Daphnia pulex: one gene and its partners. The protein of the gene in region 2 purifies or fractionates together with the protein of the main gene of each other region. This does not show direct contact. Links are inferred from orthologs where the notes say so. Each region holds a gene or a part of one and is shown on either strand. Other genes may lie near its edges.

Region 1 (7,850 bases), on a different chromosome or scaffold from region 2:
AAGAGTAAGAAATAATGATCGTGCTATTAAATGAATTATATTTTAATTATGTTGATGAAATTTGATTTTCTTTGAAACAGTTTTAAAATGGCGTTGAAACTCTTTTTTATCACCGGAGTCCCATGGGTGTTTGAACTTGCTGCTTGGCTGCCTGTGTATCTATCCGAATCTCAAGCCATCTTTCAAAGCAACTCCGTAGGAAGATACTTCTTCGAAATCGGCAATTTGCTCAACGCATTGCGAGGAATCGTCATTTTTATCATTTTTATTGTTTTACAACGAGATGTTCGTCACTATTTGATGCTTCGCCTTAAGAGAATTTTCAAGAGAGATTCTCCGACTAATGTAGCTCTCCAGCATTCTCCAGGCAATACCGATGGAGGCCATTCCGTCTCAACTGAACAATTAACCAATAGGCGAATTTCCGCAATGACTTCTCAAACACTCGTCGCATCCTCTGCGTCGGAAGAGCAGAGTACCAATGAACCTGAGTTAGACGAGATAAGCATTTTATAGCGAAACAGACAACACAATTTAAGAAATATATAAAATCAACAAATGAAAATAGATCTAGAAAATCTGGTTCAAAAATGATTAAAACAATCGACAAACTAATTTTGCATTGAAAGGTGCAATACGCACGTACGATATTTCAATTGAATTAATTCAGCGATGTTATCAAAGATGTTATTATAGGAAAGTTTTTTTAACCACTACTAAATAACAGTTTCAATCATAAAAATTTGTCCAACTTCCTTCTTTCATTTTCTCTGTGGAGGAGCTTGCTTTATTTATTTATTAAATTTTTTTATGATTCTTGAACCACATTTTTAATTGTTCAACGTGCCAAAATGTCTACCCATCTACGTATCTAATTCCATCCCTTTCTGCGCGCGTGAGTTGTCTTCTAGAACTGATCTTCTTTTTTAAATGTGTTTAAATCTGTATTTAATTTAAAAATAAAATGTCAAAATTTAGGGTATTCTGTTACTGTTTGAGGCCAATATGATTATCTTCCTCTTTTTTTTCATGATACCTGCCGTCTTAGCCTTACATCTTTCTCTAGTTTTCTTTTCCCTCATTCTCTTCTTTCAAATATTCGAACCAACCCGACACAGACAAAATCATAACAGCTCAAAATTCAGATTGCTTGAAATAAATGTTTAATAGTTAGTGTTTTTTTATTTTGAGAGCATCAGGCAATCAACGAGACAACGAGTAGACGTACTTTCGGGGAAAGTAAAGGGGTGTTTCCAATTTATGCAACTCAACCACCTGATGCGGAATGAATTTTCTCTTACAGTATATGACAAAGAATCCTTGTGACCATTTAAAAAACGAAATTCTTATTACACCTAGCATATAGCTAGTATACAAGAAACTAATTAGGAAATTGCCAAAGGACTCAGACTAGCGCTTTAATGGTATTGTAGCGGAAACAGCGACCGGACACCATCCGGGAAGGGTAAAGAGCAGCGACGGTCAGATGACTGTTTCTACTTTTCCTGGTGACGACGCGCCACAATAGGGATCAGTTAGACTCGGGCAGTGACTATAAATGGATGCAACTTAACAGTCGGGATCAGTCTTGGATTTGCTGTATGCCTTTGAACTTTCTCAATAGACATGTGCATCGGATTCAACCCAGAATACACATGTGTATTCTAGAAGCTGAACGGCATACAGCAAATCCAAGACTGATCCCGACTTTTAAATTGTGCTACATTGGGTCTAACCGATCGTTCAATGTCGACTGACCGTCGCTACTTTTTACCCTTTCCGTGCAACCTCTACAATACACTAGATGGAGCCAATAACTTCGAAATCATCCATGTTTCTAATAAACGGTAGTAGCGCATAGCGCAGAAACTACAGAATATGACACAAACTGCAAAAACTTCCATTATTGCTTCCATTATTGTTTTAGAAAATTGTTTGTAGATGAGAAAAATTAGATTTTGTCCCATCACTCAGAGTATTTCCTAAAGTGAAATTAATTCTCAAGCATGTAACAAAAACTAGCAAAATTGGCTCATTTGAAACCTATCGAGCAATTAGTAACTTTAAACAAGTGTTAAACGATCATAAGACTAATCATAAGACAGAAGGTTTAGAAACTAACCAACATTGAAAAACAGAAGAAAATATGGACAAGGTCCAATCAAATTTTATTTATACCATTAATTGATTGGCAGCATCTTCCATTTCTACTTCATGATTATACAAAGGAGATGGAGACGCTACGTTAGGATCGAAGCTCCACTTAGGGAACACGCGTTTATAAAGATTCATCATTACTGTGTCCTGGGATTTGATTTGGCCATCAAATACACATTTCATGTGTCCGTGCGTTCCAAGTGGTTCTGAAATTTAAAAAGTTTATAACTATAGTAAAAAGAAAGTTATCATCTATGCAAACCTCGGATGTGACCTCGTCGACCATATTTCGTTCTTAATTCAACTGGTTTGAACCATTCGATGTCCTCACGGTTGAAGAACATAAAACGCAGGACAGCAGATTTGCGGTGAACTTTAAATGGTGCTCCACTCAAAACGGCACGTTTAACTGTAATGCGATCAGGATTTACTGATAAAACCGATCCAGTCGCTATCATTACTTGAGTTCCGTCCTTCTTTTCCCGAAATACCAAGACTGAGGCAGATGGAAAGATAATTGGCGCGTAAAGAGTTGCTACTACAACTGATTCTGGCCGAAAGAAGCGCTCATACTGAACAAAGAAAACTCCTTGATGAACAGTACATACAAAAATTAGATAAAAGATAAACATTACCTTATGCTTGTTGGCTGCAGTGTGCTGACTAAAAATGGGAGCAGCAGCATACCGCCGATAACCGCAATGAAAGATCAGTCGCTCTTTTGACGGAATCGCTTGCTGATCCCGTGCATTTTTGAACCTCTTAAGAACAAGATTAACCACACTCATTCTCTGTTCGTGAGGCAACATGCCAACTAATGTCAATGGGTAGCCGGATTGGAGACTCGCTGGTAAATGGCTGGGCACGTTCTTAACGTGAACTCTCACGTACCATCCGGGCTAAGAAAATGTAATTTTAGAGCATTCAAGTTTTTATCAAATTGAACCGCATAAGAAAAATAAAAGTCACAATACCTTTGCTCCAGTTCGTTCTTCTTTCAAGATTCGCTTTCGAGTCCGCGGAAAATTTTGGAACTGAAAAGTTCTGGAATAATCCATGGGTAGATTTTCTTTGGCATCCCAAGGTGATGTACGAAAGGATTTCAAACCACGATACTTTTGAAAGCGTACCTTAGCCAATGTGTCGCGTGGCGTATCCACTTCGTCAGGGAAAAGTTCATCCTCACGAGCTTCTGTAAAGTCAACACATTTTTGTTGGAATTGATGGAATCATGGTTAATTTAGAAAAAAAAACATACCCTTAATTTTTTTAAATTCTTCTTCTTCATCTGCAAATTTAACTTTTTTATCGTACACATCCGTGTCTCCACCTTCGTTGTCTACTGATTCCATTTCATCCTCTTCAGCTTCTTCTTGTGATTCTTCACTTCCATCATCTCCAGACATTTCTTCGTAATCATCTTCCCAATCGTCACTATCATCCTCTTCTTCTTCATCGTTTTCTTCGTTTTTATCATCGCCCTCGTCTTTGATCCAAGCGGCTTGATACTCTGATGTTCCTTTTGGTACTCGTTTCTTTTTTTCCGATTCTTCATCATCTTCAATTTTGTCCGCTTCCATAGTTTGGCCTTCCATTTCTTCTTGGTAAGGCCAAGTCTGCTCACCGTTCATAGGATCAGGATCATTTTCGGATTTCAGTGATTCTTGAAGAGCGGGATTGGCCTCTTCCAGGAAAATAAATTCTCCGGGTTCCCTCCTGACTTCGATTCGCTCCATTTGAAAGTCTCCCCATCCAGGTATGTGGACTAATCCATTCACGTTTAAGGGTTGGTAGCGTACGTATCCATCGACAATCAAACTTCCGACTGTAGGATCATCAGAATTTTGCTTGAAGTTCACTTCTTCACAAAGAAAATGGCATCTCATATTTCTTTGATAGATAGGTCGCTGTTTCTGGGACCCAATGTGATGCAACAGTCTGAGAGCATCACTTTCATTTTCAATCACTTGAAGCTTCTCTAATGGCACCATCTGATCCAGCTGTTTCATAAGAAGCTTCTTGTAATCATTTCGTTTCTTCAATGAAATGGTCTCAATGTCATTAACAACAAAAATTGGAGAAGGAAGCCCCTGTGCCATGATGGCAGACAACAACTCTTCACCACTGCTGTCAAAACCCAAAGGCCCTTCATTACTTGTTGAATGAGACATACAGCTGTCAGTGTCAGAAGGAGGTGATATTATGAATACAACATTATCAACAACTTTGCAAGCATCTAGTGCTGCATATAGATCTCCAGGACGAGGCACTATCAAACTGAAGTTCTGCCGAAAACGTGGCACACTGAAAAACAAGAAAGAAATTAGCAACATACAAATATATGTATATATATATCTATAGGCACTTTACTTGATGTTTATTACATTGGAGCCAGTCATTTCCACTTTTGCATCAGCATCACACTCTTTGATTTGTTTCAACAACTTTTGAATGTTTGCTGATTCTCCTAGTGGGATTATTGCAGACAGAAAAGGAGCTGAATCATTCCCACCTATTGCCCTCTTTTTAGCCAGGACATCTTCTCGTTTCTTTGACCTTATCTGATTTGCTTTCCTTCTTCTTTCATCCCGCTTTAGTTCTTGATTTTTCCTTTTTGATGCTAATTTGACATGAACTCGTCCTAGAATTACCACACTAAGTTAGTTTGAAAATGACGCCAGTAAAATAAAATACAAATATTTGCTTACCTTTGTTGTTCTTGTCAATTTCACTTTTGCTGCGATGTCTCCCATTTTTATGAGATTTATTTTGCTGTTTTAGAAGACCGGGTCGATGTGAAGCCTGTTCACCTCCTGCCATCCCACTATTTACTACTGTTAATTACTTAATATAGTAAAAGAAAATGTAACCGTTCACTTGGTACTATAGACGTTTTACACACGTGGAGTTCGCGGACGGCACAATATTTCAGTGCAGACGACGCTAAATCTTGCAAAAGTCGTAAACGAACAATTTGAAGTTGCCCTACTACATGCTACTACATGCTACATCTTGTTAGTCCGCAAGTTATTAACGCGTGCGAATAATATTATATGTTAATAACTTAATATATATATATTCATGTTATTGTAATACATATAATATTACTATATTGTGTTGTAACTACGTGTACCGCAAGTCCGCATGCGGTGCTGAGCTGACACGCTGTCCAAACGGGCAGCCGCAGCGGGTCAGCGGCCATGCCCAGCGCACGTTAAGTGTTCCTTAGTCCCTTTTCATTATCTTGTGATCTTTTTGTCCAGTCAGAGGCGCCATTTTTCCTCTACCAGTAAATGCTATTGTCCCTCCTTAGAAGTCAGGATTTTTATCAATTTTATCGCTGCAGCAGGTTGCATATTTTTAATTTATACAGTTGTATTCCCAAGCAGTTAAGTATCGTTTCTCCAATCGTCCTCTCTGGTAGAATATCTCCAAACCCGATTAAACATTAAATTAAATTAGAAAACTGAAGTGACCATATAAAAAAAAAATGTCTCAACAAAGTTCCAAAAGTTGGAAGCAATTCACGAAAAAAGTTCGTTCAATACAAAATAATAATATAAAGATTTGTATTATCTCACGAAAGCTCTTTACTAAAGAATAAGCCATTGAACATTGCAAATTACAACAATAACTTATTACTGTTTACTCTGGTTTAGTTTTTAAATGATTGGATTTTTTTACGGTTGCATGCGGATAGCGCCATCAACACGAACCACTTCTCCGTTCATCATTGGGTTGAGTATAATTGATTCAACCATCATTGCATACTCATCTGGCTTACCCAGACGTTGCGGAAATGGTACGGTCTTTGCCAAATATGACTGCACTTTTTCAGGTAAAGACTCGAGCAAAGGAGTTTTAAACAATCCTGGTGCAATGGTACAAACCCTGATACCCTAGAAATGATAATAATTAGTTAACATTGTAACCAGTTTTAACTTGAGCCATTTTATCTCTACACCTCCAGTTAATTAGTTTTATTAAATTACCTGGGACGACAGATCTCTCGCAATCGGTAGAGTCATTCCAACAATTGCTCCTTTGCTTGCAGAATAGGCGGCTTGACCCATCTGACCATCGTAAGCAGCTACAGATGCAGTATTGACTATCACTCCTCTTTGACCGTCTTCGTTGGGCTGATTTTCGCCCATTAATCCTGCCGAAAGGCGAATAACATTGAAAGTTCCCACGGTGTTTACCATCAAAACTTTAATGAAGTCTTCTAGTTTGTGTGGAAGATTTTTGTTAAAATTGTATGTTTTGAAAGCAACTCCAATTCCTTAATAAATAAACAAGCTATTAAACTTTTATTCAAACAGAAATTCTTTTAAATTTAATGAAAATTACCTGCACAGTTTACTGCAACATCAAGTTTTCCAAATTTTTCTTTTGACATGGAAAGAGCATTCATTACATCTTTCTCAGAAGAAACCTATTAGGAACATCACATGTTATTAGTTGAACATTATGTTTTACTTCTTAAACATTATCTTTACATCTGTTGGGGCAAATATAACATTTTCTGACATGCCAGCAGCTACTTGTTGTCCTTTAGAAGTTGGTAGATCACATAAGACTACCCTTCCACCTTGTCGGACAATTCTCTATCAAATGATACAATTATACATCAAGGCTGGATAGTAAATTCACAAGAAAACCAGTTCTGATATACCTCAACAGTTGCCCGGCCCAAGCCAGAAGCTCCACCAGTCACCAAGGCAACAGCTCCCTATTAAAATCAAGTGTTTCAATTACTCCAAATCCATATTTGTCTTCTGTGACGATAAAGGGAAACATATAACGAAAACCGGACATGTAATATAAATACACATCAGAAACTCAAAACTATATAGGGTTCTTGACATAATTTGAAAAAAAATTGTTTTAATATTTACTTTACAGCATTTAATTTTCCATTCCATATACAAATGCAATGTTATTTAACTTACTTTCAACATTTTATCAAACGAATTTTATTTTGCGATTTAAACACGAGTCCTTTTGCCTGTTCCTCGCGATATGCAAGACAGCAAGAGAAGGATCCGAGTACGGCAGCAGACGACCTTACGAAAGTTAGACGTTGACATTTAACAAAAATGGATTTCCCTTTGAAAAGACGAAAAAGTGGTCTTGTTGTCATCCCTTCGATTTGGATAGATGCAGGTTGCAGGTATAAGTTAAAAATGAGCTATAAATGTAGAATAATCCTTAGCTTAGTGTCCCACCCCATTCCATTGGGATTAACAGCTGTCAGTTAACATCGGTAAATTTGAAATTCTTGAAAATAATATTCCTTAGGGATTCACTTTCTCCCCATGGAAACTTTGGCAGTTTACGACATGTTTTTGCGCCTGCCTTTCACCCTTGGCTAGAAAAAAAAAATATCTTGTCTCAAAACTTGCTAAGGAAAAGACCGACACCAACCACATCTTTAGCCTACCTTAAATCCAAGAATAACGGTCACATCGGTCACATAAAGAGATGAATACCTGCATATTTGCTAAGACACAATATTTTTTTGGCATATTTTTTTTATATATTTCGGAGTCAACGACCGAGAACGACCGACTTTAGTGTGCATCTGCGATGCATATAAAGGCTCTTTGCAGCACACTTTTCTCTATCAATCTTTATTTGAAAACCTTACAGATCAAAATGAAGATCTCAGTGATGACAAGCATGATTTTGCT
Region 2 (7,118 bases):
GTTGTATTTACGATAAGACTCTAGCCAGCCAGCCAGCCAGCCCAGCTAGAGGGGGGAATATAGAAAAGGAGGGCCGCGCATGCGTGCAGACATTTCTGGGCTATACACAGCCGAAAGCTAAATGCGTTGCCCTGGCTACTACTACCCACACTCGAAATGGCGGCAAAAAATAACCAGACTTTTTCATTTTGAAATATTTAGTGTGCTGTGTGTCGCCATAGTTACTATATATAATACACCCAATCTTGAATTGTCTAAACCATTAATGAAAAAGTGTCTAGACAAATCAATTTCTCTTGTTTTGTTTTAAACAACACGAAATTTATGTGTGAACGAAGAAATATGAAACTACGACGTCTTCTTATAACCACATTTACCTAGACAGACTTGGCAATCAGGAGACCTTGGCCCGTTGAACCACACCTGATATGAGTGTGAAAATAAATATTGACGGAAATATCTTATCGTTAGAAAACCACGTGCGTCTCAAAGTTACTTTAACCGACTAGTCAACTGACGTTTCATGGCTACTAATCTTCATCGAAACGTGTTTGACATTAAAATATAGTTAAAATAGAATCAGGTAAGAAAACATTTTCAGCCACTTTTTGACGAAATAACTTTCATTATTTTTAAAGCGAGTTGAGATAATAAAATGCGATAAGCAACTACATAATCTTCTGAATCGGTGAGCAATAAATCAAATGTCTGATTTGATATGGCCACCAGACTGTTACAACGATTATGTAGGTCAATTATTACACCAAGTGACTTTTAAACAAAAGCAGCCGAGTTCTGGAAAAAGAAATGGAATGCATTCAACCGATTTTCAATGCTGACTCCAATTTAATATGTAAGAAAATGGCGATTAGTTTTTATACGCTACGAATACCCTTCATTCCACCTATAAATTATGCCCCAAATTTTTATTCTTGGCACGTTGTCGGTACTATTAGTTGTTCTATGTCTATGTCAATACGACCAAGTCTCTATGTGTACGCCAGGAAAACTTACATTCATTACAGACATGACATAACTTCTTATTTCTCATGTTCTCATTTTATAATCGGGATATTTTTTCCGGGGAAGTTTGGTTAGCAACAACAATAGGACCGCGTGCATCTCAAATAATTTTTCTTCTGTCACGGAGCAGAAAAAAAAATGCCTTGTCATCCAACATTCGTTCAGTTTCTTTCAATATTCAAATACAATTTGTTGCATTTGCTCGATTTCACAGCCGCGCGTCTAAATTCACGAGCCGAAAAATTGCCATGTCATCTAACAGAAAACATTCCTGTAGTTTCTTTTAATATTCGTCTGCGAATTAATGCATTAGGGTCCAGATTCACGAAGTTTCTGTTTTACGTTTTTGGCATCATAAACACGAAAAAGAAACTTGGTAGTGGGAGACAGGTTGAAAAGAAAGAACTTTCACTGGCCAAGAGCCCACTAGTCTTGCCACAGTTCTCAATAGCTTGGGGAGCTCTGCAGATCAGATATCTGACTTGGGAAAAACAAGCAGTATCAAACCAACTTGAGCAACATTCTAGTCATCACGTGATCACGCCAACGACAAGCTTATTATTACTTTTTTGTTCAGTAATAATTTCAGAACAAGACCATATGCTTAGTTCAATGCCTCACTAGTGAAACCCCCGGATTAAAAGTTGTTTAACGACCCATTGTATCAAGTAATGTCTAGCTTTCATCCTGAATCACCAAGAAAATGCTTAAATGTCAATGCTCACGTAAGCTCTTAAATACACTAGATTAAGAAAATTAAAGAAAAGTTCTTACCTTTCCAGTAACACGAGTAACCACAACATCGACAATATCGGTAACATTTCACTTTAACTTTTCTTCATGAGATGGATAACGATAAAACAATTATAAATTAACAAACTGCAGCAGCTCTGCATTGAACCGTATTTTGAAGTTCACTGTCGGCATGTAGTGCACAATTATTCTACGAGAACTATTTTCAGCAACCGACACGTTCAATTGCAGAACCACTTACTGAAATAAGTCTCACGCCGACAGCGGTAGTTGGAAAACCTTGTTTTTCACGCAGACCTTACTCTAATTTACTAAGATTTTTTACACATCAATTCTTGGACTTGCTTCATTACCTAAATTAATTGGTAAGTTTAATTTGAGCGTAAAAAGAAAAGTAGGGTGTAGGATAATAAATAAAACACAACCTTGACCAGGCAAAGCATGTATTTAACTCTCGTTTCATATTGGAAACTACGGTAGTTAATCGACACCAGCCCAGTAAATAGACGAAACACTCCTTAGGCAGCAGCTTGGGTGGGAGGTGCTGCTGCGATGTCGGACATCTTGGCTGCTTTAAGTTCCTCTGCGATGTGTGTCTCATCTTTAGGTTCCAGGATGGAAACATTGTCTGGCAAAGGTCTCTTGGGTCCGTTCTTGTTGTTGGGATCCCACGGCAACATGATCTTAACCTTAATACCAAGTACTCCTACAATAACAAAGATGATTAGAAAGATTCCTCCCAAGTCAATATAATGCACAATAAATTACCCTGGCGAAGCAAGACGTGTCTGACGGCAGTGTCGACGTAGACGTTGGTGGGTTCTCCACTGTGGATCATCAGACCATCGACGAACTTCATGCTCTTGGCTCGCTGACCTCGAAGTTTGCCAGATACAACAACTTCACAACCCTTAGCTCCAGACTCCATGATGAAACGGAGAACACCATAACAAGCTCTGTGTAACAACACATTACATCAGAAATGCACTATTTAAACGTCAGCCTATTGAATTAGCTTACCTGCGAACAGCCAAACCACCAATGAGTTTGTAGCGCAGGGACTCAGCTTGGGCAATAGCACACAAGCCACGAGTAGCAACCTTCTCAGCATAGAGCTCAACAGTTCCCTCTTGGAAGCCAAATCTCTTTTGGACAACAGATGTCAACTCGCGAATGCGACGGCCTTTCTCACCCAAAACATTCTGGGTACGTGTAGCCAGAATGATGATTTCTGTGCGAGTGGGGGCAAGGCGCACCTAATAGGAAAATGGGTTTTAGATATCTACACAGTAACAAAATAATTTCACAAGAATTACCTCAACTCCAGAATAACCATCTTCGGCCAATTCACGGGTCAAGAAGGCGTTCAATTCAGCCTTGAAGACACCTCCCGCCACAAACTGTAATACAAAATTATAAGAAAATTAGGTAAACTCAAGCACACTGACAATAGAAACATGTCAAGCCAAGACGAATTTTATCCTCCAAAATCTTTCACATCCTGGTTAGAAACTGTTCTATTTCATCAATAACACCTCAATATTCAAACGGTGAATATGTGAGAACAAGATGAAAAAGATTCACGTGTTGAAAGAATTACTTGCCTTTCGTTTTTTCGAGATCTGAGCCGTAGCCATTTCACGTATTTTAAGACCGGTCTACGAGAGGAAGAAGGAATACACAGTACTTTTTCTGTAGACGAAGTTGACAAGCCCAGCATTGCCTCCTTCTCAACCCCCTCTTTCGGAATTCATCTTCCCACATAATTTATTTCAGTTTGCTTTTTAAAATTTTTTCAACTATCATTATAGAAATAATAAATTATAAACAAGTTTAATTGGTTCATATTTGTTTAAAAGATTTCAAAAGTTTTATTGTAGATTTTCCATCTGTCAACTCCGACAGGAAGTCCGAAATTCAACAGCGTTGGACGAAATCAAATGTTATAAGTAGGACTGTAAAACGCCATTTGAAGCATGTGAAGCTCCCCCATCTGGTTTGATTGCTGCTAGCCAGTTTTGTATTCGTTTCGGTAAATATCTTATTTAATTCATGCAACTAAGACTGAATTTTGCATTCCTTTGAACCACACTAGCTCTACTTAGCTTATAGTGGCCAAGCGGACATGCTAAATTAAAATTTATTCTGATCTACCGTTGTCTCCTTATTTGGAACACATGGATTGAACCGAATTAAAACATTTGATAGTAGTAACATAAAGTAATTGATGTTGAAGGCACTGAGGCACACTGTGGATAATTTGTTGAAGTGTGCTTTAAATGGTTTTCTATGATGTTGAAATGCTAATTCTTATTCTGTTGTTGTACAGGAACCCTCACATCGCTACCTGAAGTTGCAGATTTCCTGGTGAAATAATTCTGTTTGGTGTATTTTATAGTATCTATATTGACAAATAAACAATTTTTAAAATTACATTCTGGCAAATTGTAACTAGTGAAAATTAAAACAAATTAATTTGTAGATAACTATATTCAGCGTTAAATTGTTGGTTGAATCATGGTTGGATGATGAATCTCATCAAGAGACAGGCTGTTGCTATTCTAATAGATTATGGCTTTTGACTGAGATAATATAATGTTAACTGTAAGTAGGGTACCATGAAAAGCTGTAAATATTAACATGTAACCTTTTACTTGATTCTTGTTTTTACAATCTTACGATTCTGTTTAAAAGGGGTTCCTCGTTAGCACATAAGCCTACTTTTCGCACTGAACTCGCTCATGAAATCATTTCTTCCTGATATGGTTGGGATAAATTATATTGGTAAAATTTTCAAGTTCGCATCGATGTATTGGACCACACACTTGTTAGCACGGGAATTTTTAGACGAAGGGAAAATTGTAGCCTAAGAGAACATTTTATCGAACAATTTCAAGGGCAGTTGAAACCCATTTGAGTTATCTGAAGTTATGTGCATCCAAGAGCTGTTTAGTAGTTTTCTGAAAATCACAGCTTTATTAGAAAGTTAATGGACTGTTTACTTATTAGTCCTTGTCTTCATCTTTGTAGTGGCGGTATTCCGGTTTCAGTTCCCACATGTTTTTGTGAGGATTCTTCAAATTGTATACACAAACATCCTTCAAAATTTCCTTGAGGTAGGTCTATAAAAGCAGAGGGTTTTAAAAGTGCAAATGCTTGTATGAAAACAACTTTTTCTTACCACAGGTTGGTTGGTGAGTTTTACCAAGTCCTTGATGTTGTAGTACTGATGCTTTTCAAAAGCTGCAAACAGCATGTCCATAACTTTGCCCTTATCATCTCTGGCTTTCTTACCCTCAGCTTTCTTCTTTTCGTCGAATTCTTTCTGTAATCAGGAATAAAAGGTTATGATGTACCAAAAATAGACGAGAATTGCTATATTTACATTATGCTTGTGGTCAGAGATGGGTTTGTAACTTTGAACCACTCGATCCAATTGCTTCACAATTCTTGTAGGTTGGGCAGCTTTAATCAAAGAATCCCTTTTGAGTTTCATGTAACTTGCATTTGCTGATGAAAATAAAAATCATTAATGCTCACTTCAAGCTTAGGAACTTTATTTTGTTGGTCTCACCTGTTGGTCTACATTCAAGCTTCTGGGCAACTTTGCCTTCAAATATGATCTTCTCAGTTTCCATAGGTGAGTTCGCGGTGGCTGGAGCTGGGGAAACAATACAAAAATGTCAATATTAAATTAGATTAATTGCAAGCACGCCACTTTAAATATCATGCTTTAAGCTCAGGCCTAAAATAAAAATCTTCCCCATAACTGTCAAGTAGTACGTACTGGTTTGTTGAGAAAATACACCCAATGTTTGTGAAGTAATGTGTGAAACAATCAATCCATGCTCTTTAGGAATAGGTTCCTCTCCTTTTTCCTGGAGACACATAATAGCTTCCGACAGAATAAGTTTGACTTGAGACTTTTGTCCTTGCACCCTGAACAAGAGTTGTAATGAGTTAATAAAGGATTTGTCGATTTGTTAACATAAACCAATTGATGCATACCTAGTAATATTCAGTTGTCCAGCTGTAATATTTCCAGGGCATTTATCCCATCGACTTGAAATGTATTTTGGTACTTTCACCAACCAAACACCCCGACTAGCTGAAGACATTTCCATTTCCCTTTCATAAACGATGACATCTTTGTCTTTCTCCTTGTCTTTCTCTTTTTCTTTCTCCTTTTTCTTTGACTCCATGGTTTTCAGTTTTAAAAATTCTGCTTCAACGTACTAGAAAAACCTATTCAAGAGAATGTAGTTCTAAATATTGGCCGGCTTTAATAAAACAAGTAATCGTTTCTTCTTTCAATCGACAACGTCACACAACTGAAAAGGTCTTCAAGTCTATCGTCTGCTATAAATCGCGCCAGAGCGCGTTCTTTTGTTTTATTAGATAAGTTTACGCAACCATCAGTTCGTCAACGCATTTTTCTTTAATAAAACCCCCCAAAAATCGAAATGGCATGGAAATTTAATGGCCTTAAAAAAAATAACTGATCAAATTTGTTGTTGCACAATCCCTTTAATAAGCTTTTAACAGGAAATAGTTTGATTGGCCAACATTTTTTCATTTAGCTTTTTACTCCTCCTCAAATGTAACCCTGATTGCATATCTCAATGCTCAAATCTCAAATTTGTTTCAGTATGAATTCCCTAATATTATTATTATTATTATTTTCTTGCCTTTCTAGATTTATAGGAATTTGCAAATCAGGACGTCTATCTGTGTAACTTTCAGACGCGGAATAATGTGGTATTTTTCATAACGCCCCGTGAGAAGTGATTCGGAATGTTTGGAATTTTAATAAGTACGAAATCACCGGAATGCCTGGCCAAGTATATAATCGCCCTCTGAAACAAAGCAGAAACTGGGAAACCTCTTTTTGTACTAGTTGGTCTGATTCGATCGGAATATGTATTACCACTTGTAACTGGATTCAAAATCAAACAATTCTACGAAATCGAGAAAGTTATAACAACTAGATTGGTACTTAAGGCGATGTCTTGTGGGGGGACAATGTCCGTCCACTAACTCCTTTTACTATAATTGAGTTCTATCACTAGTACGAATTGCTATACATGTATAACATAGATTTGTCTAAACAAGAGATGGCGAAACGGTAAAAATAAAAAGAGCACAGCAATTTGAAATTCTAAACGGGTTTCCCTTTCTCATGGTGGCCGCTGGTGGCGGAATCAAGAAGCTGACGACCAGGCCAGCACTCCACTCCGTGATCGAATATACAACATACTTGATTGCGCTTTGAAATGGACAGTGCGAGAGAATAGAAACATATATTTTAGTTTGAAAGTTGTATACACTAGTCCAAGATAATT
Region 3 (7,985 bases), on a different chromosome or scaffold from region 2:
CGTGGAAAAGTTGCGTTTGAATGGGGTTGAAATAGGGAAACGAGTAGAGACTTTGCCACTCTGGATTCTTTAACGCAGCGACGGGCAACGGTTTCAGGTCCAACAGACCGGTGTGTGGCGGATGGCGTTCGGGTAGGATGAGATGCTGGAACGAAATGGGATAAGTGGTTTCGCAGCGAAGCCAACGGTCGCTGACAATGCGGATGTAGTACTGCGACGGCAGTGGCTCAAAGATTGGGATGGTGAAGACAATCACTTGCTCCTCCTTGCGTGTCACTTGTTTCTTTCCCAGCGAAATGGATTCGTAATGATATGTCGTGTTGTTTTCAGGGTCCTCCACCCACATCCATAACGGCTCCGACGAAAGACCGTGAATTCTGTCGTTCCAGCGAAAATCGGGTCGGATGCTGAGTCGAATTCGCAGCACCGTTCGCGTGATGGGTTGAACCGTAGCCTCTACATCCAGGTAAGGGAACTCGGATGCATTTCGCTTAACAATTGGGCCAGATCTTTGATTTTGAATCATAAATCCAATCTCTTTGCTGTCCATCTCGCGCAGTCGTTCAAGTGATAACTTTTTCTCTTCCAACTTGATGATAATATCTTGACCGAGAGTGCCAAATTGGCGCAACGGATGCTGCGAGTCCCAAACTCGTTGCTCAATCATACTAGTAGGACGAAATAAAAATTAGGTTAGGAAACTATAAATAGAAAATTATAACCTGTAAAATTATCTTACTTGGAAACCCGAAGAACTCTACCGGACATTAATGGCCAATTTTTGCGCAAAACAATCTCGAAAAGAGCTCGAGCAATACGAGACGAATTTTGGGCGATGAATGACTGATCGGAAATTAAACTAAACGAGTTGACGGATCCACGTGAAACGTAAGTCTGCATCAAAATGTTGACTTTGCCGTGAATATTCTCGCTACCGCCGCTGACAGGCAATTCGCAGTAAGTATGGAGATAATCGTCAAGCTCATCCAGCTCGTCATCACGCACTTTGAGCTGGTCAAACTCAGTTGCCATGGAGATGAGAGCGAAAATTTCGGCATCGTTCATAGCTTGATGCATTTGCTCGTTGAAGATCTCGACTGTGTCGTATTTGATGTAAAAGTGGCTAGCGGTTCGACCCAAATCGGTGGCGTGCAACAATCCAGTCTTTTCTTCGAAGCGGATCATTCGGGCTTTGTCCAAGGATCGGGCAGCCATAACGATCAATTCTCGGCGTTTTCCTCCCAAGTGGGGATCGTCAAATATCTGTTCCAGGTTGATGCCGTAAGCGATAGGGTTTTTCCTCATCCGAATGAACAAGTAGGTGTAACTTAGCCACTGGACGGCTTCGTCAACATTTGCAACCGTTCCGAGCGTAATTTCAGCGTTTAGGTTGTCTGTCATGGATTTTTCAAAGCTGCTCTCGATGGGATATTGGCACGTCAGCAACGAGAGGTAGTGGGCTAACTTGTCGTGGGATGTGATGATAGTTCCGTGTCCTGATTTGTCAAATTGGGGTCGACCAGCTCTACCAAAGATCTGCAGAACATCCAAGATGCCGATATCGACAAAGGCTCCGTGTTTAGCGTCGTAGATCTCGGTTCCTTTGATGATGACTGCGTGAGCAGGCAAGTTTACACCCCTAATTTTACACAATTGAATGAAATCATTGTGGAATTTGGATTAATATTGCCCTGGCATGCCAAATTTTATGAATTAAGAAAAGTGAATTCACTTACCATGCCAAAGTAGCTGTGCAAACCAGGACTCGCGCCATTCCGTCGGCAAACATTTTCTCCACAAGGTTTCGATCACCCCTCAGCATTCCGGCGTGATGAATTGCGAATCTACGAGACATTTAAAATATTAGCAAACATAAACAGAACAAATACAAGGACCTACTCACCCGTCTTTGAACAAGTCGACAAGATGCCTATTCCTCGATTTCCCTGCCGTTCTCATGGCGGTGCTGAATCCACTATTATCTTCTGGCTGGAATAAATGCAGCTGATTTTTTTCCTGCGCGATCATCCTTAAAGTCTAAAATATGCAAACAAATTGTTAAAACAGGAAGTTGCACAAAACATTTGACAAGGTGTGATACCTGGGCTGTCTTTAGAGTGGCGTTACGGGCATGGACAAAAACCATTACTTGATGTCCCTGTTGTACCATGGCGGCGACCTTATCATAACAGACGAAATCCATCTGTTGCATTTGTCGCATGGGATTAACCTCCTTCACACCGATGAATGTTTGAGATAAAGGCACAGGTCGGAAGCGCGAATCAAAGTAAAAGAGCCCCTTGTATGGATTGACGTGCAGAAATTGCGCTACGTCAACGTAATTGGGCAATGTGGCCGAAAGACCCAAGATTCGAATCATCATCTGGGACGATTCAACCTGGCGCAGCGTGCGGGCCACAAGAGCTTCAACTACGGGACCACGATCGCCGTGAAGTAAGTGAACTTCGTCGATAATTAGTAATTTTACCAACTGCGTCAATGCAATGTCACCTGGAATCAGAACATAAATCAATTATCGACCATAGAAAAATGAGACCAAAGTCAAGTTTCAACAAACCAGTGCTTTTCCTGGTAATAACATCCCACTTTTCGGGTGTTGTGATGAGCATCTGAGTGGCCATGATTTCGGCCTTGGTCAACTGCATGTCACCCGTCAACTCACGCACTAGCAGACCCAGTGGGGCCAAGCGTTTCCCGAAATTCTCTGCCATCTCGGCTGCTAAAGCTTTCATGGGGGCCACATACACAATCTACAAGTAAAACTGTGAGGGTAAATTTTAAAAGAATTTGTGAATGTACTTTTACCTTAAACTGATCTTTTCTTTCAAGGACTCCGTTAGTGATGTACTGCTTGATTTGATGCAAAATTGTCAACATAGCAATGTTCGTTTTACCGGCTCCGGTCGGAGCGCAAACTAACATGTTCTAAAGATAGAAAATAATTCTATGAAATTCTGTGTGGTGCGGAATTTGCTGGCGTTTTCCTTCTTACTTCATTAGTTCGGTAAGCGGTTTCAAATACTACGCTCTGAATCTTGTTCAGATTTTTGCAGTTGCCGAATGCTTTTCGACTTATGTCATCCAGTGAAGCGATGGGGATTAATTGGTTTCCTACTTCAGTTGGTGCTGGTTCTGATAGAGGAATGTTGATTTCCTCATATTTTGCGGTGTTGGTACGCACCGCAGACTCTGGCAACGCCATTTTCTTCCCACCAACGAAAGCTACCAGTAAAAGGTCAAGTAATGAATCATCTTAAAAATGGATTAAATGATATTCAGCATACATGAAGATTGTTTCGCCTCTGCTATTGAATCGTAAACGTTGGGATATTTGATTGCTTTACTAGCGGAATGTTTCATAATTGGAAGCGTCGAAGCCATGACCAACTGTTGCTCTCTACAAGAAAGAAAGTTTTATCAATTAACAATAGACAGCCCAAGAACGATGTAGTTATAATAAAGTTACTTACTGAAACATTTTCATCGATGACGCCTCTTCTACGTCATTCTCGTATCCTTGACGTAACTTCTGAAATCGCTTTTCCTCTCTTCGAACCTGCTTCATCAAATCCTTTTCCTGGGCAGATTGAACAAGCACTTGCCCACTGATAATGGGGCCAGCAGGATAAGGTTTTGGTTTGGATGAGGCCATGGCAACTATAGAAATTCATTTAAATAAAAAGTACTTTGGCGAGGTGAATTATTTTGATTTACCCTGAGTGGCAATCGATTTTTCTGCTTTCTTCATTTCCTTCCTATGTTCCAAGAGCTCTTGTATCAGTTCAAATCGTTCAAATCCCAGCAAATCAAAGAACTAAAGCCAAGACAACACAATGAACTTGATTCATTTGAATTTACACTGCAAAGCACGATGGAGAATATATCACCTCCGTTTGTAATTCATCGTCCGATTTACTGGAGCACAAAACGTTCATGATGGAATCAACGAGATCCGTAATGGGAATACTGAGAGCATTGCAATTAGAAAGAGCTAGCTGCTGCTCAAGCCAACCACGACCATGGGCTTTGCGCTGTGATTAAAGAGAAAAATGTTTCTCATTTTCAAAAAATAATAAAATAAATGGTACTCATTCAAATACCTCATATACTCTGGTCTCATTAGTTTTCGCTTCTTCCCATTTGAAACTAATAATATCTTTTTTTGTAAGTCCATCAAAATTGCTAGTGGGACTTCCCCAATCTATAAGCACTTCAACTCCACTGACAGAAACTTCATCTACTGGGTATATCTTCACATCTTTGCCAAATTCGGCTACACATTCTTCTGGGTTTTCATTCTTGAGGTACTTCATCACATTCTCAGGCAACTTGTTTGCCAAGTTTCTTACGTGCTATTTTTTAAAAATGATTAGCAAATAGCAAGTTTTATAGCGAAAAATAAAATCTGAAATACTTTGAGTGCTTCTTTTCCGAGTGAAAGATCAATTATTCCAAAGCCCAAAGAGGAGAGGTTTTTGGAGGTGACATCTTCCTTCTCCAAAAAGTACAAAAGTAGACCAATAGAACAATCCTCTACCACCTGTGCCCCACACTCATCTCCAACTATTTTATGGGCAACCTGTCTAAGAGGATTCAGCAGTGCTCTGGTATCTGCTGTATTTTTCCCCGATTTCTCCAATTCCCCAACCAAACTCACCCATGTGATCCTGTAAAAAAAAACTTTGTTTAAGAAGACAATTTGAAGATTGCACAGTTCTTACTTGTTGCTTTCTTCCTGATGTTTTATCCTAAGCTCACTTAAATGACAAGATGATGTCTCTGTCAATTTACCACATGTGGGAGAACCTAGATTTGTAAAAGCTCTCAGTGCTCTGGATAAACGAGGAGTAGGTTTCATTCTAGTTGTGAATTGATGGAATATATTACACCATTTAAGGTTTAATTAACCCTACTGAGAAAACAAAATTTCAATTGAAATTTAATTCACGAACTGCATGCAATATTTGATTTTACCGATTCCAAGGATTGAACTTGTGAATAACTTCCTGCTTTACAAAAACACACACAAATATTTTATAATACGTAATTGACAAATTTAATTGACTACGGGAATGCAAGGATGGACGATAAGACATAAGACAAGAGGCACCGGTAAATGATTCCTTCTTTCCAGCAATCGGTTCGTCTGCTTTGTTTTTTTCGCTTTCGTTTTCAAGTGACAACGCTAGGTGGTGTGGTCGTAGCCCCAGCTGGTTCAATTTAATTCAAACTGATTCTGCTCACACGGCACAGCCATTAAAAATAGGGAAAGATACCGATACCTTTATTTAGAATCCCGACACAAAATTTAAAATTAATTGTCGATTGTTTTAAATGCATAATAAAACAATCGTCCAAAAATCGGATATACGTACGTATCTAACATTGTCTTACATAGTAACATTACATCAGCAAATGTTCTATCTATCTAAAAGAGTAGCAGATTTTTATTTGTATCTAATGCCAAGGTGCCAAACCAGGCCAAACAATGATTGTTTACCCTTACACCAATGTTTCATGGAGCAATAAGTTATTATTGCACATGATAATGCCCAGATGTATAGAATAAAAACGTAGAAGATATCGATTGAATTTTTATTGAGGCTTCGCAAAATACACGAATGTACGTTCGGCAATTTCGTGTTTATAAAAAAATCTGGAACTTCTCCAAGCCAATCAGCTAGGTGACGACTCCATCAAAACAAATGAATTCGATTTTAAATGATCGACTGAACGAAAAGGTTAGACGTACGGACAAACAAGATGGGGAAAAATTTGCGTGACATCAAACAGCCTCCGTTCTTGGTTCAACCCGCTGTTTCTGAGCATCCCGACCTAGGTATTTTACTTAACTATATAGATCATCATCCGCATCATCTTGGAAGTTGCCTCCAGATCCTCCGCTAGGCTGACTGCCACCTGCAGCTGGTGCATTCGGGAATCTAATAAAAATGCATTCAGTATTATCATTATTCATGCAAGTCTGGCAGTGAATTATCTTTTACCTGAAATTAGTGCCAAAACCACGTGATTGCTGCAAAGTCTGTGAGAACATCTCGTATTTGCGGATATCGTTGTCTGAAACAGAACGACGAGCAAACTTCATGGCATCTTCAAAATGCGACCTCAGAATCTGGGGAACTGGATCTTCTTCTTCCATTTCCATATCCATATCAGGATTGGCGGCACGTTCTTTCTCCCTTCTGATTTCGGCTTCGATAGACTGGCGAATAGCCAACTTGCATGCACGTTGGCAAATTTCAGTCAAATCGGCACCAGAGAAACCGTGCGTAACTTTAGCCATGTAGATCAAATCCACATCCTAAAAATAGATATCAATTTAGATTGGTTCCAACGGACTATATCAAAGATTATTTACCGGAGCAAGAGGGGACTTTCGAAGATTAGACTTCAAAATGGCTTCCCGTGACTTCTCATCAGGTAGTGGGATGTAAATCAATTGATCCAAACGACCAGGACGTAATACAGCCGGATCAATGATATCTAAATTTCAAAAAGCAAACAGATGGGTAAATTTCATTGCGTAACAACTGATAAAAGATGCATATGTTACTGTTAGACCAAAAATACAAAGAAAAGAAAATTACCAGGACGATTCGTCGCTCCAATAATAAAGACGTTTTTCTTAGCACCCATGCCGTCCATCTCTGTCAAAACTTGGTTGATGACACGATCGGCAGCTCCTCCAGCGTCACCAGAGCTTCCACCACGAGCTTTAGCAATGGAATCGAGTTCGTCGAAGAACAAGACGCAAGGAGCAGCAGCACGTGCCTTGTCGAAAACGTCTCGCACGTTGGCTTCAGACTCACCAAACCACATGGTCAACAACTCGGGACCTAATAGAGATAAAATTAGTTTTGATTGAACAAATTTTAACTGAATTAATCTAAATTTTTTGTTTACACACCTTTGATAGAAATGAAATTGGCCTGGCACTCGTTGGCAATAGCCTTAGCCAACAGCGTTTTACCGCAACCGGGTGGGCCATAGAAGAGAACACCACGAGAAGGAGTCATGCCGAACTTGAGGAATTTCTCTGGATGTTCAACCGGGTATTGGACCAACTCTTGAAGCTCGCGTTTGACGCCTTCCAAACCACCAATGTCTTCCCATGAAACGTTGGGCACCTCCACAATGGTCTCTCGTAAGGCACTAGGCGTTGATTTGCCCATAGCGAACTGTTGATGAAAACACGAATGAAAATTGCTGTATGTATGTTTAACGCATTTCAAAATCAACACACCCGGAAGTTCTCCATAGTAACGGCCAGGGATGCCAGGACTTCAGCGTCGATTTGGTCCTCTTCCAAGTCAATGAGATCCATTTTCTCTCGGATCTGTTGGAGTGCAGCTTCTGAGCACAATGCAGCAATATCGGCACCAACGTGGCCGTGTGTTTCGGCGGCAACTTGTTCCAAATCGACATCATCGGCCAGTTTCATATTCTTGGTGTGAATACGCAGGACTTCCAATCGCCCAGTGGCATCTGGAATACCGATATCAACTTCGCGATCAAAGCGTCCGAATCGACGAAGGGCAGCATCAATCGAATTGGGTCGGTTGGTGGCAGCCATAACAATTACATGTGATCGCTGTTTCAAGCCATCCATAAGCGTCAACAACTGGGAGACGATGCGGCGCTCTACTTCACCATGGGTCTATAATAAAATCGAACATTTCTGTTAACAAGCCATTTCTTTTTAAATGCTAGTATTATTATTTGTTTACCTTTTCACGCTTAGGAGCAATAGCGTCCAACTCATCAATGAAGATGATAGCAGGTGAGTTTTTCTCGGCTTCTTCAAATGCTTTACGTAGATTACTTTCGGACTCGCCAGCCAACTTGCTCATAATTTCAGGACCTAAAACCGCTCATCAGTTAATTGAAACAACATCAAAAGCAAATAATCTTTCTTACCATTGATCAAGTAGAAGAAAGCGCCG

What was found.
Region 1: the proteins of 40S ribosomal protein S3-A-like (region 2) and pre-rRNA-processing protein TSR1 homolog purify together in Homo sapiens (co-immunoprecipitation; 4 studies listed by BioGRID and IntAct, with this or other methods). This does not show direct contact. The link is inferred for Daphnia pulex from reciprocal best matches to the Homo sapiens genes RPS3 and TSR1.
Region 3: the proteins of 40S ribosomal protein S3-A-like (region 2) and activating signal cointegrator 1 complex subunit 3-like purify together in Homo sapiens (co-immunoprecipitation; 4 studies listed by BioGRID and IntAct, with this or other methods). This does not show direct contact. The link is inferred for Daphnia pulex from reciprocal best matches to the Homo sapiens genes RPS3 and ASCC3.

What each region holds. Positions count from the first base shown.
Region 1 is NC_060018.1:6,275,714-6,283,563, forward strand, and holds pre-rRNA-processing protein TSR1 homolog, read right to left. Parts: upstream 5,153-7,850; 5' UTR 4,978-5,152; coding exon 4,866-4,977; intron 4,799-4,865; coding exon 4,528-4,798; intron 4,462-4,527; coding exon 3,416-4,461; intron 3,350-3,415; coding exon 3,132-3,349; intron 3,057-3,131; coding exon 2,793-3,056; intron 2,730-2,792; coding exon 2,420-2,729; intron 2,364-2,419; coding exon 2,173-2,363; 3' UTR 2,152-2,172; downstream 1-2,151. Other genes in the region: uncharacterized protein LOC124188662, read left to right, coding at 1-4, 81-516; 3-hydroxyacyl-CoA dehydrogenase type-2-like, read right to left, coding at 5,838-6,056, 6,150-6,439, 6,508-6,592, 6,657-6,764, 6,833-6,889, 7,110-7,118. UniProt on the Homo sapiens protein: Required during maturation of the 40S ribosomal subunit in the nucleolus.
Region 2 is NC_060025.1:406,433-413,550, reverse strand, and holds 40S ribosomal protein S3-A-like, read right to left. Parts: upstream 3,527-7,118; 5' UTR 3,414-3,526; coding exon 3,381-3,413; intron 3,177-3,380; coding exon 3,093-3,176; intron 3,033-3,092; coding exon 2,797-3,032; intron 2,733-2,796; coding exon 2,545-2,732; intron 2,483-2,544; coding exon 2,295-2,482; 3' UTR 2,203-2,294; downstream 1-2,202. Other genes in the region: general transcription factor IIF subunit 2-like, read right to left, coding at 4,782-4,898, 4,958-5,101, 5,162-5,286, 5,351-5,437, 5,564-5,715, 5,785-5,978. UniProt on the Homo sapiens protein: Component of the small ribosomal subunit. The ribosome is a large ribonucleoprotein complex responsible for the synthesis of proteins in the cell. Has endonuclease activity and plays a role in repair of damaged DNA.
Region 3 is NC_060022.1:743,609-751,593, forward strand, and holds the start of activating signal cointegrator 1 complex subunit 3-like, read right to left. Parts: upstream 5,153-7,985; 5' UTR 4,996-5,152; intron 4,934-4,995; exon of another isoform or gene 4,931-4,933; 5' UTR 4,880-4,930; coding exon 4,743-4,879; intron 4,689-4,742; coding exon 4,436-4,688; intron 4,374-4,435; coding exon 4,122-4,373; intron 4,053-4,121; coding exon 3,909-4,052; intron 3,836-3,908; coding exon 3,736-3,835; intron 3,695-3,735; exon of another isoform or gene 3,679-3,694; coding exon 3,492-3,678; intron 3,419-3,491; coding exon 3,306-3,418; intron 3,244-3,305; coding exon 3,014-3,243; intron 2,947-3,013; coding exon 2,827-2,946; intron 2,772-2,826; coding exon 2,579-2,771; intron 2,512-2,578; coding exon 2,102-2,511; intron 2,038-2,101; coding exon 1,904-2,037; intron 1,845-1,903; coding exon 1,737-1,844; intron 1,640-1,736; coding exon 740-1,639; intron 669-739; coding exon 1-668. Other genes in the region: transitional endoplasmic reticulum ATPase, read right to left, coding at 5,870-5,963, 6,027-6,343, 6,401-6,525, 6,630-6,878, 6,950-7,220, 7,286-7,699, 7,770-7,903, 7,960-7,985. UniProt on the Homo sapiens protein: ATPase involved both in DNA repair and rescue of stalled ribosomes. 3'-5' DNA helicase involved in repair of alkylated DNA: promotes DNA unwinding to generate single-stranded substrate needed for ALKBH3, enabling ALKBH3 to process alkylated N3-methylcytosine (3mC) within double-stranded regions.